Lonchura striata: one gene and its partner. The protein of the gene in region 1 interacts with the protein of each later gene in a pairwise test. Links are inferred from orthologs where the notes say so. Each region holds a gene or a part of one and is shown on either strand. Other genes may lie near its edges.

Evidence for each region.
Region 2: the proteins of HSPD1 (region 1) and SAMD3 interact in binary tests that used the Homo sapiens proteins (3 or more experiments, as listed by UniProt). The two-hybrid records come from large-scale screens. The link is inferred for Lonchura striata from reciprocal best matches to the Homo sapiens genes HSPD1 and SAMD3.

The regions. Positions count from the first base shown.
Region 1 is NC_134610.1:28,259,302-28,268,245, forward strand, and holds the start of HSPD1 (60 kDa heat shock protein, mitochondrial), read left to right. Parts: upstream 1-5,605; 5' UTR 5,606-5,708; intron 5,709-6,437; 5' UTR 6,438-6,439; coding exon 6,440-6,613; intron 6,614-8,944. Other genes in the region: HSPE1 (10 kDa heat shock protein, mitochondrial), read right to left, coding at 1,308-1,358, 1,931-2,020, 3,109-3,273, 5,125-5,127. UniProt on the Homo sapiens protein: Chaperonin implicated in mitochondrial protein import and macromolecular assembly. Together with Hsp10, facilitates the correct folding of imported proteins.
Region 2 is NC_134605.1:60,348,948-60,357,802, forward strand, and holds the start of SAMD3 (sterile alpha motif domain-containing protein 3), read left to right. Parts: upstream 1-5,330; 5' UTR 5,331-5,357; coding exon 5,358-5,436; intron 5,437-6,175; coding exon 6,176-6,365; intron 6,366-8,855.

The DNA of each region.
Region 1 (8,944 bases):
CAGCCAAGCCTGGCAAATGCAGCTTGTGCTGGTGGTCAATGGGATCTATGGAAAAACATGGCTCCAGCTGACCTCTGTGCTGTGCAGCTGATGGGAGGGACTTTGTGCTGGTAGAAAATACATTGTGTTTCAAACTGACAGAGCTTGAGTCCCCTGCAGCACATGAATGGAGTTCTGACAAATATTTTGTTAAGAGTCACTTACTGTTACCTCTGGAATAAGCATTATAAGATATCTAGCACTGCCGAGTTCTTATCAGCAGGACTAGAATAGGAAAGAAGTGCAGTTTAATTCCAGCCAATGAAGTTTCAGCAGCAGTAAGTCAGGGACTGACTGACTTCGCTAAGACTACCCAAAAAGCAATTTAAGGCACTGTCTGTTCTTAGGCTGCACTAGATCCCTCTGTGCACCTCAGTTTTGAAAGCCTCCACAGGAACAGTGCAGATTTGGGTGCTCCTCATGCACAACCCTGAATCCTTGTCAAGGCAAGAGAAGGTGGCTAGGAATATGCAAATTTAATTCAGCATTAATTCAGCTTCAGCATTACCTAAGTCAGTGTCTTGCTATTTAAGAATGGTGTGTTAAGGGTAAATGAAATATAATTCGTCAAAGGGAAAACTCAAGATCTGGGTGTGATAGTGTGGTAATCAGTAAAGAAATTTCATTTAAGATCAGCATGATCCTGTTACAGCACAGACATGACTAATAGCAAGCTCCTTCCACCTGCTGGGGGACAGGCTGTTTGTGTGCCTTAACATTTCAGTATTTCAGGGTCTTCATACAGGACTTAGAAGAACCCATGCTATCGCACACTGGAGTCCAATGTGCAAGGGAGCTGGATACAAGTCCTCAGCAAGATTGCATCTGTCTGGTAACCCTTTTAAGCTCATTTCATACAAACTTGGTGAAAATAACATATTACTACCATTGAATGTTACAGAGAGCTCATTACAATTGAGACTCAGTTTCACTGAGCAGCAGCAGAAACTGAGACAGAAGCAGAATAGTTTTATAAGTTTATTGTAAAGACCTTTACAATCTCAGTACAGAGATAAGGATATAAAATGATGCTGTTTGGAATTAAGGCTGGTTGGCGGTCATCCAAATTTCACTGTTCAATGGAACTCAAGCAAGAGCAACTGGTTTCTGACTGTACATATTTTTATTTGTGTTCCATCATTACAGTGAGATCACAAGTTATTTCAAAGACTCAATGCCTGTTTATTATAAAATAAAGGACATTATTTACATGATGAAAGAAAAATTTCAGCATTTTAGTGGAATGGATGACTGATACTGCAACAGGTTTAGTCCACATATTTCCCAAGAATGTCACCATCTCTAAACAAGTAGTAGTCCTGTAAAGAAAAGAACCGTTAGCTTCTCTCATGTAAATATTTTTCTTGTTTTGTAAATACTGTCTTGTTCTGAGTCAGCATTAATTGCAGTCATTAAGAATAAAATCAAAAGTGAGCTAACCAAGAAGTCAACATGTAGAGCTAGTCTTGAAAAAGTTCTTTTTGTTCCTAAGATAATCTTTGGAGAGCTATCAAGTTACTTCTAGCAGTGGGAAAGCACAAGAACGGTTAGAAAACAATTCTGCAAGCTTTCTGTACCAAAAACAAGGATGCCCCCAGGAATTCCTAAGCCTTTTTGGATTCTCTCTAATATGTACTTGACATATGGAACATTTTGCCCACCCAGCAAAGGTCAGGTCAGAGGATCCCATGGTTGCTTCCTTTTATGCAAGGGCTGAAGTAGCAGTAGCACAGCTACCAGAGGGTGGCTGGATCCAGCTGCTCCCTCCCTTGTGTTGTGTGAATGCTGTCTTCTTGTGTGAATGGTGCAAACACCACCAAGTAACCACAGTATTTATCACTGGCATTTCAGGAACCATTCCGATTTGCACTCACAAAGTTGGGAAACCTACCTTATCTTCCAGTACGATCTTAGTTCCACCATATTCTGGGAGCAAAACCTTTTCACCAACTTTTACACTCACTGGCTGAATCTCGCCATTCTGGAAAAAGAAAAAAAAAAAATCCTTACTTTTCTGTGATAGAATACCTCCAAACTACCACAATCCATCTGTGTACAGAAACATTCAGGAAATCACAACTCTGCATTTAGTTTTGACTGTTAATACAAGCGTGAGGTCTTTGCTTGACACACTGAATAGGACTTCACTTAATGAACCATGAAACCCCCTTGTAAAATCAAGGGACAAAGTCCATTTCCATATTCTATAACCAAGGATAATTTCTCCAAGTAATTTCTGTAACTTTGATCAACTTGTCACTGTTGCCATCAATTCACTTGTTTAGGAACACCTGATGAAATTTAATTAAATTTTTGTATTATAAATAAAACATTAACACATTAGTCAAACATTATCACCCTTTCACAATATAAACCATTAAAAATCAGATCCTGACACAAACCAGCCTGGGACGTATAGAGGGACTCACGGTAAAGGAAGGCCAAGGCAATGTGCCCAAGCTGAAATTTAACCTGTTTTCCAGTGTTGCTACTGACTGAACACTGCTCTGGTGGGGAACCAGCCCTTCTGATGTGGGAGCACCCAGGCACTGGCATTTCTGTGAACTCTTATTGGCATATGCATATCCAATGTGCAAAATTAACAAACAGTTATTCAACAATTATTTCTTTTGATTGCTGACTTTCTTTAGTCCAAGAAGCCTAATCCTTATCGATAATGATATTTTGCACAGCACAAGGCAGCCAATACCACATTTTGGGGTTCCACCCTGCTCACAAGTCACAGACATTTGGGCACGTAGTAATTTTAACAAAGAAGTCTACTGGTCCCTCAAGGTTTTGGCTGAGATGTGATGAAATATGGTATCACATAAAACACTGTCTACAAAAGAAACTCCACTCCATTTTACAAATGATGAAAGGAATGCTGGAATTCATTTCAGGACAACTTGAGATTTCTACCTGCTTTTAAATCCCCACTTGCAATTTTAGCCATCACAGTCATCCATTACCACTTTTGCACAACAACCATCCCACTCTCACGGCAACATTCCAGTGACCACCACACCATTACTGGTTCTACCAAATGGAATGCTTCAGGGTGATTACCTTTCCTCTGCCTCCAGATCCAACTGCTACTACTGTTGCTTGTAGTACCTTCCCTTGGGATTTTTCTGGTATCATGATTCCTCCTTTGGTTACTGTCTCAGCCGCACATCGCTCAACCAGCACACGATCAAAGAGGGGAAGAAATTTCCTAAATGCTTTTCCTGCCTGTGGAAGTAATTGTACATTAGTAAGAGCACCATTACAACAAAAACTGCAATTAAAAGGAGTTTTAAAAATCCAACACATAGTGATTCCTCCTTTGAGAGAGATGAATAGTGTAAGACAACTGCTAAGCACTTCTTTAATAGCAGCAAACAAGTACCAGCTCTGACTGCATCAGAAACTCCTGAAGGCACAGGCAGATGCTGGGAAATCCTGACAATTCGGCCGTAGGAAGATGTACTCCAGCTGGGGAATAAACCGCCCTCGGACAGAGCAGACTCCTCTGTCTGGAAAGGCCTCTAGGCTTTTAACACCAAACCCTTAGTTGCTATAGCTTGGCGAACATAATTATTGATTATATGAACCGCATTTCTCCAGTTCACAACCAGATCTAATGGAGATTAAGGACTCCTTGGGAGAGCTACATCTACACTTGTGAAAGGGTTTACATTAAAGAAGCACAAGTCTAACCAGGTGCCCCATTGTCAGCTTTTCTCAGGTGCTTTCAAAAAAATAGGTGAGAATCTGCAGCCTGAACACAGTGCTGTTACTTATCCCAACTTCTACAAAGAGATTCAGAAAAAATTAAAAGAAAGTTTAGGTCAAGAACCTGAAAATGAGAAGCTAGGCACCCTTCTAGCTCAATTGCTTTGGTATCTGCTTCTGTTTAAGCAGAGTCAAGTTGAGGGGTTTTTATTAAGCTGTTGGGTTTTCCTCTCATATCTGGCTTAGTTTTGGGGTTTTTTTACAACTACCTACTGCTACCTGTCTGCATTCCAGAATCGGCAGTCAAATTCCCATAGGCCAGATAAATGCCAGCAAATGCATTTATCCAAAAGCACGGGGGTCAGGAAGAAGGAACTTGCTTTGATTTAGAAGGAAAGATATGGCCACTTGCCAAGTCACATGGAGCTAGTGCTCCACTAGGCAGGTACACAGAGGCCACACTCAGAAAGAGCCAGAAGGGCCTGGCACCCGTGTCCCTTTGCTGGCACTCACCGGTATCCACACACACTTGAGAAGTGGCAGAAAGCAGAGCCACAGGCAGAGCGCGAACAAAAGGCAGCTCATAGAAGATGTATTTGACTGCTGTCAGCAGCACAGGGATGAAAGCTAACCAAGGGAAAAGGCTGCCAGTTCTGTACGTTTCATTCTGTGAAAATAATATCGCTGACCCTCCTTTTTAAGAGCTGTTTTACGTTTACCAAAAATAAAGCTGCCAGACTAATGATCATGAACATTTTACACCAAGTTTTAATTCTTTACGTTATTATCATCACAAGAACCAAGTATCACTGCAAGAACAAGGGCAACTCAGTCAAACTCTCCTTCTTCCCTATAAAAAATTTCACTAAACGTACAGAAGGAGAGCTCTGGAGCGTGGCACAGGTTTCCATCTCCGCAGAGACCCGCCGTGGCCTGTGCGGCCCTGCCCTGCGGCGCTGCTGTCACGGGGCTGCTCCCGTTACTGCGGCGGGGAGGAACCCTGAGCTCGAGTGTCTGCGCAGCCAAAGGCAGCCAGCCCCGGCAAACCTCCCGCCACGTCCCGGCCGCAGCCCCCGCGCCTGCCGGGGAGTCGCCTCTGCCCCCCGGACTGCGTGACCTTGCGGCGCCGCCACCCCGGCTCCACCTTCCCCGCGCCTCCCCGCGACCCAGCGCTGCCCGCGGGGACCGAGCGCAGCCGTGCGCGGCCGCGGCTGCTCGGGGGCCCCGGCAGCGACCCAACCGCGGGGAGAGCGGGGCCGCCGCGGGGCCCCGCGGGCCGTCTGTCCCCGCGGCGCCAGACACGCGGGGCGGGGCGGCCCGGGCCACAGCAGCGATGGGCAGGCGGCGCGGCGGGGCCCCGGCACTCACCATGCTGCTCCCGCGCCGCCCGCACCGAGTGACCGCGCCGCCGCCAGCACACACGTGAGGAAGGTCACGGCGGGCGCATGCGCGACCGGCGCCCCGCCCCGGGGCGGAGCAGACCCGACCCCCGGCCCCGGGGACGTTCAGAGCCGCCGTTTTTTTCCGACCTCTGCGGCCCCCTCTCAGCCCCGGGAACGGCTGCGCCCCGGCGGCACGGCGGGCCCGCCGCGCAGCTCCCGCGGCGCCCCGGGCCGGGCCCCGCACGGAAGTGAGGTCAGCTCACCTCTGACCCGCGGCGGGCATGAGCGTTCCAGAAGGTTCTGGAATCGGCGGGCCCGGGAACATGAATAGTTCATGCTACGAGCCCTTGGCGCATGCGCTGTTGTAGCCCGCGGCCCAGCGCGGCATGCGGGCTGTGGGCGGGCGCGGAGGCCATGCTGGTTCCGGGGCCGGGCGGCCGGAGCCGCACATGGGCCGGCGGCGGCGCGGGGGCGGGGCCGAGGCGGTGAGTGCCGAGCGCCGCCCGCCGCCGCCGCGCCAGACGTGCCCCGAGTCCGCAGAGCCGCGGTGCTGCTCCCGCGCTGCCGCAGGTGAGCGGGAACGCGCCCGGCGCGCCGGGCCCGCGCCGCCCTGCCCGGCTTGGGAGGGGCACGGGGCCCCCGCTCCTTCGGCCGCGCTTCCCGCGGGGGCCGCGCGCCGGGAGCGGCCGGGCCCGGGCGGCGGGAGCGGGGGGCGGCCGCGATGCGGGCTGTGCGCCCGGGCGGCGGGAGCGGGCCCCGCGCCTCCTGCGGGCCGGGGGTGGCGCGGCGGGCCGGGCGGCGGCGGCGGGGGGCGGGCGGCGCTGACCTTGCTGCGCGTGTCCTGGTGCGGCGGCCATGTGCCCGCGGGGCCCTGCCCGGCGCGGGGGCTCCTGCGGGCCCGGGTGGCGGCCGCGGCCTTGTCGCTCTCCTGTCCGCCCTTGGTGGCGTAGCGGGCTGCGGGAGCCGTACCCGAGCTGCCGCTGCGGCCGCGGGCGGGCGCGGCCCCGCGCCGAGCACATGGAGCCGCGGGCGCTCCGCGCTGCCCTCGCCGCGCCCTGCCCCGCTCCGGGCGGGAGGGATCGGACGTGCTGCAGGCCGCGCGGGGCTCGGCGGGAGCATCGGGGACACCCGGCCCGGTACCCGCAGTTACTTGTGTGTCGCGATTTCAGCCACTCGAGAAACTAAAGATTCATCGTGCCTGCTTTACTTCCTGAATCTCTTACCCCTCTTTTCCTGCAGAAGTAGCTGTGCAAAGCCATAATGCTTTTGTTTTTCTCTACCTTTCTTTTAATATTTTAGACATGCTCCGCTTATCTACAGTACTCCGTCAGATAAGACCAGTGTCCAGATCCCTCGCCCCACATCTGACACGAGCCTATGCAAAAGATGTGAAATTCGGAGCAGACGCGAGAGCTCTGATGCTGCAAGGAGTAGATCTTTTAGCAGATGCTGTAGCTGTCACCATGGGGCCAAAGGTAATGGAAGATTTGGCCTTTATGTTAGACCTGGCTGAAAATAACTGTAACAGAGAACAGTTGTTGAGTTTCTCTCGGTGAAGCTGCACGATTGTATTTGCAGACCTGCAACGCGAAAGGGTAGGGGAATGGGGCTCCTGCAAGCAGCTGTAGTCTCATGTCCACCAAAAGTGGGACAATAGTGCACGTGCTTTTTGAAGTAACAAAGTAAAATTGCTTGGAATCTTGTGAAAGGTACATTATATTCGTCTAAACAGTTTGAAGGTTAAGGAGTTGTGCATAATGTGTTACCAGCTCAGTTGATAACCTGTAACAGTGCAGTAGATAATGTAACTGTCTGTGTCGTGGGGTAGGTTAATCAGCGTGTGGGTGGCTTGGTTGGACTTTTTTATGATGCTTGTTTTGTTTGTTTAACAAATTAAAATTTTATATTGGTTTACCTTTTAAATATTAATAAGCTTTTAAAAATAGCCAAAGTGTGATGTTGAGTTTTCAATTGTCTGGTGAGTATTACCAGCCTAAGTACAATTTTGTGGTATTGCATTTATTACCCTATATTCTGTCCTGTAAAGGAGATCTGGGTCTCTTGGAAAACCAGCTGTGGTATTCTGCATAGTCATGCAATGTGCAGTAGGGCTTGAAATGAGATTCCTCTTTTTGAGGAAGAGACATGGATTTTCTTGGGGGTTATGTGAATATTTGTTCCCTATAATAGCATGTGCATGGTAGTTCTTCTGAGGATTGCTTGTCCTCTGTAACATTATTTCATGTATTTTCTGCCCATTTTTAGTGCTCTACCACTTTCATTCAAAGGCAAAAGTGCCATAAAGCTGAGCAGATGAAGGATCAATTATGTCAGGAAGCCGTGACTGCTTCCATGAAGGAACAAAGTTTAAGTGTAGTTGGTTAATTTAACTCTTGTTTTTTTGGATCAGGCTGCTTTCTGAATGCCGAAGCACAGTTCTAATCCACTGGCTAAAGGGCAGTTGCTGATGTAACGTAGTGTAACCTTAGGGGATTTTTGTTCATTATGCTGTTCTTCATGTATTGTAAAAATTGAGGGGTTGTGCTGCAGTGCCTGAGTCTGCTTCTGGCATTTTTAAGAAACATCACTGGTGAGGAAACCTCCTTTGGCACTGCTCTACATTTTAAGGAGCCCAGTTTGCAGTCTCACACAATCTTTTGGTAGTGCTCCAGTATGTTGAACAGAACTGGTTTGTGTGGGAGCCAGACCATTCCTAAATGCCTGTGCAGTTACTGGTGGTGTTTGTTCTCTTCTTCAGGAACACAGACAGGTGTTTTTGCTTCTAAAAGAGCAAGCCCTTTCATGTGATTTGTTATCTAGGTTTTGTTGTGCTCCTCTTCTCAGAGCTATAAACCAACCATTAAGAATAAGACTATATCAAATACAAAACAGAATTAAGCAAACTAGGAGACGTTATATGAAAAATGTACCTACTGGTAGCATGCTCCTCCACAGAGGAGTTTTCTTATACTTGAATCACATTTATATTTAGATGGGCAGGTCAAATAAGATAATTTATTATTTTATCATAACTATTCCGTGGCACAGAGGTAAATTTCAATGAGTTCTTCCCCTGGTTCAGCCTGAGTAACTGAAGCAGAACCTTTCCTTGTAGCTGCTGGGGTGCTGTGCTTCAGGAGCAGCGAGGCCTCGTGCCTGGCAGGCAGCCAGAGCTGGTTCGGTTTTGAGGCAGATGTGTGTGGGCTCCGAGCAGGGGAGGGGCACAGGGCACGCAGCGCTGGGTGCTGCACTGAATCCTTGCCTGGCTCCTGATCCCCACCCTGGGCTCTGGCAGGAGCCGGCGGGGTCAGCTCGGAGCAGGACCTGACAGACCCAGTGAGGGCACTTGTGCAGGGCTGGCTGGGAGGGACACTGCTGAGCTGGGGCTCCCTTCCCTCTTCCAGCAGCTCCAGCTGCCAGGATAGCAGAGGAGTTTCAGGGCAGCACTAAACCAGAGGTGGCTCGAGTTTCTGCTGCCTCCAGCTCCGACTGGAACATGACTGGGACAGCTGTTGGTTCCTGTGTTAGCTCTGCCTGTTAGATACAATGCTCCGGCTTGTTAGTTGGATTCAGGCGAGAGCTAAGATGAGAAAAGCTTGGTAACTTGAAGTGCTTGAGAAATTACTGTAACACATGAACACAAATTTGAAGTATTCTCAGTTGTCTTTGCTAATCACTATTAAGGTTTGCAAGTCTGCTTTTTTTTTTTCCTTACAGCATATGCAACAAATTGAGCTTTGTATTACTTGTTTTTTAATCACAAAGAATGTTTATTGTGATGTGATTAAAATTTTGAAAATTTGGTT
Region 2 (8,855 bases), on another chromosome or scaffold:
GACGTTTTCAGTTTAGCCTGCACTGTTGATTGCATGACCACATGACTGGTTGCAAAGAAGAGGGCTGGATTAGGGCTGCCAGTTCAGGCTAGTGGGGAATTGCAGACCAGGGCAACAGCACCCATGGTCTCTGTATGGGCCAGTGACAAGAGCTGCAGTCCTCTGGTAAGCCAGCAAGCAGTGACATGATCAACACAACACATGGACCTGGTGAGAAAATTGTACTCTGGGGAGAAAAGAAATATCAGCAAGATTAAATTATTTATTTCTCTAGTCTTCTGGAGCAGTGTCCATGCCATACCATACCATGTCCATGTCTGATTGCTTTCTTTTTGACACATGAAATCTAATTTTTGTGATTCATAAATTTTTAACATTTACTTCATTTTCCCCCCTTTTCTCACTGTAACATTGTATTTTTATTTGATACAGTTTTATTAAATCTTATTTGTTTTGCAGGACCTGGTTTTTGGTAGCAGGTGGGCCGCAGAGATGGCTTCTCTTGAAAGCTGCTGGAAGCTTCCACCATGTCCAGCAGAGCCAATCCTTGATGGCTTTGAAGACAAATGTGCAGCTGGCCAAAACTGGGCCAATAAGAGAGGTTGGTGATGCCTCTGTAATGGCATATTTAAGAAGGAAATCAAAACAAAGTCAAAGGTGTTTCTGCTAGTCAGGGTAAAGGAGGAGGTGAGACCATGTGAGGGAAAAAACACGGAGACACAAAGGTCAGTGGAGAGGGAGGGGATGAGGTGCTCCAGGTGCCGGAGCCGAGATTCCTCTGCAGGCCGCGGAGAGACCACGGCGAAGCAGCTGAGCCCCCGCAGCCCATGGGGATCCACAGGAGATGCAGAGATCCACCCACAGCCCATGCTGGAGCAGGTGGATGTAAGAGGCTGTAATCCAGTGAGAGACCTGGTGGAGAGAGGGGCTCTGCTTCCAGGCTGGAGCAGCCTATCCTTGGAGGACTCCACCCCATAGAAAGAGAGACCCATGTCACAGCAGTTTTGGGACTTCCCAGCCTGGGAAGGGAGTTCACATTGCAGTAGATATAGTAGGGCAGCTACTCGTGAGAAGTGGACCCACAGGAGAAGTTCATGGAGGACTGTCACCCGTGGGAAGGGACCCCACAGACTCACAGGGGAAGGACTCCTCTCTTGGAGCAGTGGAAAAAAAAATCTTGGTGATGAACTGACCCAAAAACCCCCATACCCTGTCAGTGGAAAGGAAGGAGGGCCTGGGGAGAAAAGGTGCTTTAAAGGCTCATTTTGCTTCTCATTACCCTCTTCTGTTCATAATAAATTCACCTGGCAGCCTGAAGTTGAGCCTGTTACGCCCTTGAAGTTCTTTTTTTTTATTCTCCCGATCCTTATCTAAACTCATGAAGTCTTTGTTAACTTTTTTCCTCTCCTCTGCCCAGCTGTGGCAGGGAAGGGTGAGAGAGCAACTCTTGTTTGTGCCTGGCATTGGGCCAGTGTCAAACCATGACAAAAAGATAATATAAAAAGTTTTGATTTTACAGGGCCCTCATTTCCAGAAGGTTTTTTTTTTTTAAAAAAAAGGAAGACTTTTACAGCTAAGTGTCTTATCACTTGTACTCTGTTGCCAGTAATAGCAAGAATGGAGTCTCATTTACATTGTTATTAAATCACAGTTAATTTATTATTCTACCTTTCAAATTGCCAAATAAGTTGCATATCTGTAATAGAGAGAACTTGGTTCTTGTGTTGAATTTTGCTGTTGAAGTGGGACAACTCGTTTTTCCAGTAATACTGCAGCTAGCACAAATGAAAATATTTTTAAAGTTCACATAGCAAAAACTTGAGTATTAGAAATATAATATTTAATCAGAAGCACATGTATTAAGGAAAGGGATTATTTTTTTATAATATTCTTCAGAGTTAATTCTTGCAGAGGGATTTGTTTACTTGATAAGCTCAATGGATGGGCATGTTCAGAACCCTTGTAAATTCCCTTAGCTCTGATCAAATTTTAAAAGCTTTGTCTGGCTTGTTTCCCGTTATCTACAACTGACTAATGGATGTGCATGTTTTCTTCCTAGATCTTCTTATATAGCCTTTCTCCTAGGTGATATGGGTTTTCTCTTGCATCTGCTGTATGTTTGCATCTCTCCTTGTCTTGCAGCTGCATGTGTCTTCATCTATAGTAGCATAGAAATGAGAACTGGTGTGTTGACTTTAAGATTTGCTCCCTCACTGATACTGGGATTTTTTTCCCTTTATTTTGGACATCTCTGCACTATGGTTCATGCTAGCATAAATGCCTGACAAATGACAGCAATGTGTTGTTGGCATTTTCTTCACGGGATGGGGAAGGTGACAGAAATGCTACCTCAGAGCCTTTTCCTATATGTTACTGAAAAGGTTTGTGGAAAATTGATGTTCTTTTCATGATAATTCATCACTGGATCTGAGATTACATTGTCTTGAATACATTTGTTTGAATTTATTTTAATTGTTTTTAAAAAGAGATTGGTAGTAAGTGGAAAGAAAATAATAAAGTATTTTAAATAAAGTATAGTGCATTTGAAGATGAAGCCAAATTAAGAGAGCATAAAATTGCACATGGGATATTTTGCTTATATCTTTGGTATGCACCAACTCCTACTCATCACACTTGTAACTCTGAGACCTGGCCCGTTACAGAATGTGCCACACAGCTGTGATGTATAGATGTGCACACATCACATGCCTTACACATTTCTTTAGCACTAAATGTGCTAAAATTAACCATAACTCCGACATTGGTGAAAAACCTCATAGACGCTTGTCAAAAGTTGTGCTAGTTGTCGTCTGTGGTGCCATAGGCTCTCTCATAGGTAAACATAATAACTGACTCGTCATATTTCAAGTGTTTTGATATATTGGCTTATTCATTTAGAAGTGTCACTTCAAGATTATGGCAGCTGTGGACAAGCTATGGAATAATTTGGTGCATGTGCAGTATGCATCTGCCAGCATCCTGCTGGTCAGGATCCCCATCTCTTGCTATTGTGTAACCCACTGTGGGAGCTGAAATCTGTACCACTGATAGGTCTTTAGCCTGATCTGATTTAACCCTGAGATTTTTATGCTTCAGTTTTGAAGACTTTTATAGTAAATAGAAGTGCTCCTCTGTCACATTCTAGGGAAAAGTAATTTTCATTGATTTCATTACTTAATTTCATTAACCAGGGCTAAATAAATCTTAATTATTGTTATTGACCCCAGGTGTATGAAGAAATGAGTCCCAGTGATTTGCTATATTACTAACAAACAGAGAGCATTCACGCTTAGAACTGTTTTTGTTGGGTTTTTGTTGTTCTGATTTATATGACTTGATTGAGGAATATAACTATTCAGAGGTTTCACCGCATTCAACACAGGCAACCCTTTGCTGGATAATCTTTTGATGCTACTGTAACAAATAAAATCATTAATGAAGACAAATACCAGCATCTGTGCTCAGTCCTTGTCTCCATAACACTGATAGAAGACTGGTGTGCTCTTTCTTTTGGTTACTTTGTCTATAGCAGAGGCAAGTAACTGAAATCACTTTTGAAAAGCATTTCAAAGTATTTAAATTTCATGACCCTTAATGTATATACGATTAAAAAAAAACAAAACTGCCTCTCAGCTATCATCACTTCTCTCCATAAAGCGTGCAGCCTGCATTTCCATGGGCAAGCGGCTATTTTGCTGTAGAATTAGCCACCCAGGGCTAAATGTGCATATTGCTGTGCATGGCTAGGGTTTGCTTGACACTTTTTGAAGTGTTGGTATCTGCCTCTCTGCTTTAGAATAATTGTTCCAGGGTGTTAGTCTTCTTATAGGGTGAAGAAGTGACCTTTCCAACATTTTAATGTATCTCTCTCCTTTTACACTGCTTGGTTGATAAGGGAAGTATCTTTCTGCTTTGCACCCGGTTTTATCTTTCAAGTTTTTGGAGAATTTTTTTCTGCACTACTCTTTGCAAGGAAGTAAGAAGTGTGACAGAAAGGTGTGATTTTTAATTTACACCAGAGTTCTCAACAAATAATGACTTTTCACACCCTGTTCTTGTTGCTTAGCCTGGGGGAGGAGTTGTATGGCTACTGTTGTCATATCAAATTAAACCCACTCATGTAATTCAGAAAGGCATTCCTCTTAAACTTAACCCTTCTAAGCTGCTGAAGTCGACAGGCATAAGAGTGTAAACTGAAGTGTGTCTTTTGGAGGATCTCTGCTACTGAAGGATGAAAATGGAAATATTTTATTCAAGGAGTTTTTTTCTTTTTTTGGTTTTCCTTTTCTTTTGAGCACAGATTCTGATGAGGTTTGTGAGGGTGAATCTTCATGTTAGCCTGGAGTTTGCTGCAGGCTTAGGGTATGGAAGGAAATGTTTGACCAACAATGCCAGACACTCATACGTGTGTCTGAAAAACTGATTCCGATAGTGTTGCTGTGCTGTAGATTGCAAGCACGGTCATGGAGCACTTGGTGATCCTTTAGATAGGAGAGCTAAAACACCTTGATAAGAAAATTCCCCTCAGAGAGAGTTTTCTCTTGCTGAGAAGTTCGCAGTGTGGAACAAGCTGTGCCTCTATAAGTTACCTTCCTCTGGGGAGGTCTCTGGTGCTTTGGGGTGTGTTGCACCCCCTTGTCATCCGAGTGTGTCCTTCAGGCAGGAGGCACACAGAGTGTGCAGGATTCACCCAGAGGGTGGATGCACCCATCCCGGCTGCCCCAGAGCCTCTGCCTTCCCAGGGCGCACACTGCATCCTCCCAGGTACCACTGGAGCCTGGAGAAGAGAACCAGCAAACAACAGCAGGGCAGTCTCCTCCCTTCCACCTTTCCTGTCCCTGGCTGTTGGTAATTCAGGGTTAAGTGTTTGCTGGGTACCTGCCCTGCCAGGCGGTGCAGAGAGGGTTAAGGTGCTTGGTTGACTGTAAGCATGGATGTGACAGACTCTTATCTGATGGTGGGGCGGCTTGTTTTTTTTTTTTTTTCCTTCTGTAAAATGTCAGCCATTTCCTGATGAGCCTGATGGTGGTGGCGAATTTCACACCTTTTTTCTTCTCTGTGTGGAAACCTGGGTGTTAATGGTACCGGAGCAGGTCTTGTTTTATAAGGAATGAGGCTGCCTCAGAACAGAGGGAAACCAGGGACGGGAGAGGAGGAGAGGAAAGGGATCCAAGAAAACTGCCACTTACAACAGGCATTAGCTGGATTGTTTTCCACTATTTTTATTCAGAACATGTAGGTATATTATTTCCTAAGTACATTTTTTTAATATGAAATGTTGGAGCTTGGCTTAGAGCTCAGCACAAAAATAATCTATTTTCATTTCAGAGAGAAATTTAACGTTGCAACAATTGAAGATGGAAAGTTGGTCAGTTGAGCAAGTCTGCAACTGGTTGAAACAGAGAAATTTAGGAGAGCTAGTTCCTAAGTTCCGTGGTAAGCATTTTTATTGTTTGGGGGAGTGGTGCTGTTTGTTTAGTATATCTTGCTATGCATTTTATTGGCACTCCCTACCTTGTTTTGGTTTGGGGCATGTATGTATTTGCTAACCTCAGACTTTTATAGAAATTTATTAGGGTGAGAACTGACATATATCTGATAAATCAACATAAGTGTACAAATTTGCTACAAAGTCTGAGAAATCCTGGGGGAAGAAATTAAGCCTGTATATAAATAGACACACCTCAAATCAGAGCTGGCAGTTTAAAAGACCTGACAGGGCCTATTTTATGTTGTAGAAATCTTTTGAAATAATGCAAATGTAGTGTGCAAATGTTTTATGTTTGAGTATATAGACACTTCACAGAAGCGTGCACAAGAAACTGTAATGTGAACAGCCTATTGCTTGTCTACTCTGTTAAAAAGCTTGATTTCCTTCATCAGCAAGTAACAGTCTCCTGTGATTCAAGCAAGGCCTGACTTAAAGCAGTAAAATTGTCACCTCTGCTTCTGTGTGTTTCAGGCTTGGCTGTATGTCAGGGGAAGATATCTGGCCAGTGATTAAGACTCCTGGCACTGCTTGGGAAAGGATGGTGATAGCTGAAGATGACTGTCAGCAGTACAAAGCATCCTTCCCTTTGATCCATCTCCCATCATCATGTGTTTAGGCATATAGCATGTAACTGTAACTATAAAGCTATTTTACAGTAATTCTTTTATCCCCTTCGATCTGCAGAAGAAGAAATAAGTGGAGCAGCTCTTCTGGCTCTTAATGATCGTATGGTGCAGCAGCTGGTGAAGAAGATTGGGCACCAGGCAGTGCTGATGGACCTAATTAAAAAATACCGGCAACAGAAGAGTGGGCTGGAACCCCTTACATACTGTTGTGAAACAGCTTCTCAAAAATTTCCAGAAGTAATCAGTGGGTGAGTTTGTTCATGGCACAGCAAATTTTGGTCTTGGTATAGTTGTGTTCTTTTCATGGCATTTTAAAACTGGAATTTAATAGCTCTTCATCTGTACCTGGTTTTTATATTTTGAGTATCTGTAACAAATGTGAAATGTAACATTAGATTCTTCCCTTGTGGTTTTAAACAGGGCATCAACATTCCTGAAACACACCATTAATTAATTTAAACTTCCTTCATATCCAGTTCTGAGTTCTAGTTTTCATTTGAATGTCAAACTTTCATTATAGCTAAGATTTTCTCTGTTTTCTCTATTAAGCTTTTGAAGAACTTACTTTTAAATGCTTGCAAATCTTGTAGTATAATAATGATTTAGCCAGAGATAGTATTTGTGTCACAGGGGTATTGAAAGTCAGTTTATCAAAGGAAACTCTGGATTTGGTCCAGATGTAAGCATTTAAAATCCCACAGTGGGATTATTGAAATTTATTGTGAAACTACATAGATTTTTAGAAAACAGATTCCAGAGAGATTGTCCTCAGTTATTACATTCTGGGTCTTGTTTAGGCAGGTTTTCTTTGTTTGTTTGGGGTTTCTTAGGGGATGGAGGAGTGGGCAGAGTTTGTTAGGTGTTTTCGTTGCGGGTATTTCTGTGAAGGGTTTGTTCATTCTCCCATTGTTTACCTCCATTCTGATCTATTGTAAATCTTTCAGGGTTATGTTTTTCTGAATATCTTGGCTGAGGAGAGAAATCCTGACCTCTAAGTGGTACCTTTTAAACCCGAGAATCCTGGCTGTCGAGAACAGCTTGCCATGGATCCAAAATGCTTTTTTTTTTTTTTAAAGGAAAGGACTCTAGCACTAAGGCTGCATTAGGCACAGTAGGATTAATCCCAGAGGATTAGAACTGCAGAGCATTTGCCTTCATCCAAAAGGAGTCCAGGTTGTGCACTCCGAGGTGATTAAAAGCCCAAAAAAAGCATGATAGTGATAACTGAGTAACTTCCAAACAATATAGAGCTCATGAGGAAAACTAAACTACACAGGGAGATACATCCTCTTGTCCTTCTGGAAGTATTTGTGAAACTCCTGAGGTAAATGCTCCTGCACTGCTGGAGAGAAGGGGATTGCAGGAAGAAGACTAAGTCACTGCATGTGAGATTTATCACAGGCCTGAAACATGAGACCACAGCCGGTCTCCACTCTCTGCCTATTTGATTTATAGGAAGATCCTTCTTTAGAGGGTAGAGGTGTCTGCTGTGAAGAAGACTACCATGTATAGGTCCTGTACTTCATCCAAAGTGAGGTGGATATGCCATGATTTCAGCAGGGGTTCAGAAGAAAACATGTCCTTATGTTTAGGGCAGTTAGAATGTGGCTTTGGATATTTAGCTTTCTGACTTGGTCAGGGGTATTTGGATAGCCTGTGTCTTAGATGTGACTTTCCCATGTGCTTCTCAGCAGGTGCAGTAGCATGAGTGCAACAGTTTTGCTCTGAAGTTCAGCAGACTCAAAAAAAATTTAAATGCTTAAAATACCAAATCTTAGTGAATATAATTTGCATTAAAATCTTCCCCTATCTAATCTCCTTTTTTGTGTCAGCAAGACAGAATAAAATTCAAACAAGTTTAAGATGCATTCAGTCATGTATTTTAGGATGAGTAAAAAGTCAAATGCACTCTGTGCATTTTGGGGTATAAAAATATGGAAAAGCAGCTATAGTGAAAAGAGTGTTTTGTTACAAAACTGAAAGTTGTATCTTTATATGCAGATAGCTGTGACTCTTTTCTTAACACTGCAGTGCTTTTCTTAGTGATGTAGTTCAAAATTATTTTTGTCTGTTTGATACATCTTGAACAAAATAAGAATAATTTCTTTTGATCTAGTTCAAGGACTCATGACTTAAGTGTATGAGACACTGTTTCGAACAAATGTAAAATTCGTGGTTCTGACAGTTCACGGTGTATGTGAACTCACATTTCCTCCATTGCTCCCTGATGTTAGGCTGAATTTCAGTGAGTAGAGAAACCACGTTAAGCAGTTAATAGCATCCACAGCTGGGTGTGTTATCCCCTTGTGGTGCCAGAGAGCAACACTGAAATCTGAGTTTGCATGCTCCTAGCTCCTATCGTGCAGTGCTTGAGCCCAGGTGAAAACCACCCATCATTTCTGTTTTGCAGAATTATTTCTCAGTCAGGCCAGTTCCCAGAGCTTGCTCACCCTGCCAGGACCAGTGACAGGGCGGACAGGGCATTGCTCAGGGCAGGGAAGAAAGGATCATCATCACAGTCTCTTTCTGAGTCAGCTGAAGTCACTGCGGAGCTTCCAAGAGCCTTCAGCAGTATTTCCCTGTTGTATTTCGCATATAAATGCTATCCCCAGTGCTTTTTGGTGCACTCCTGGCTGCCACCTCTTTATCCTGGTGTCCTTGGCTCATCCTGGGACTGTGTGAATTGTGCTGACCTCTCCTCCCTGACAGAAACAGAAACAAAGTCCTTGGCTGGACAT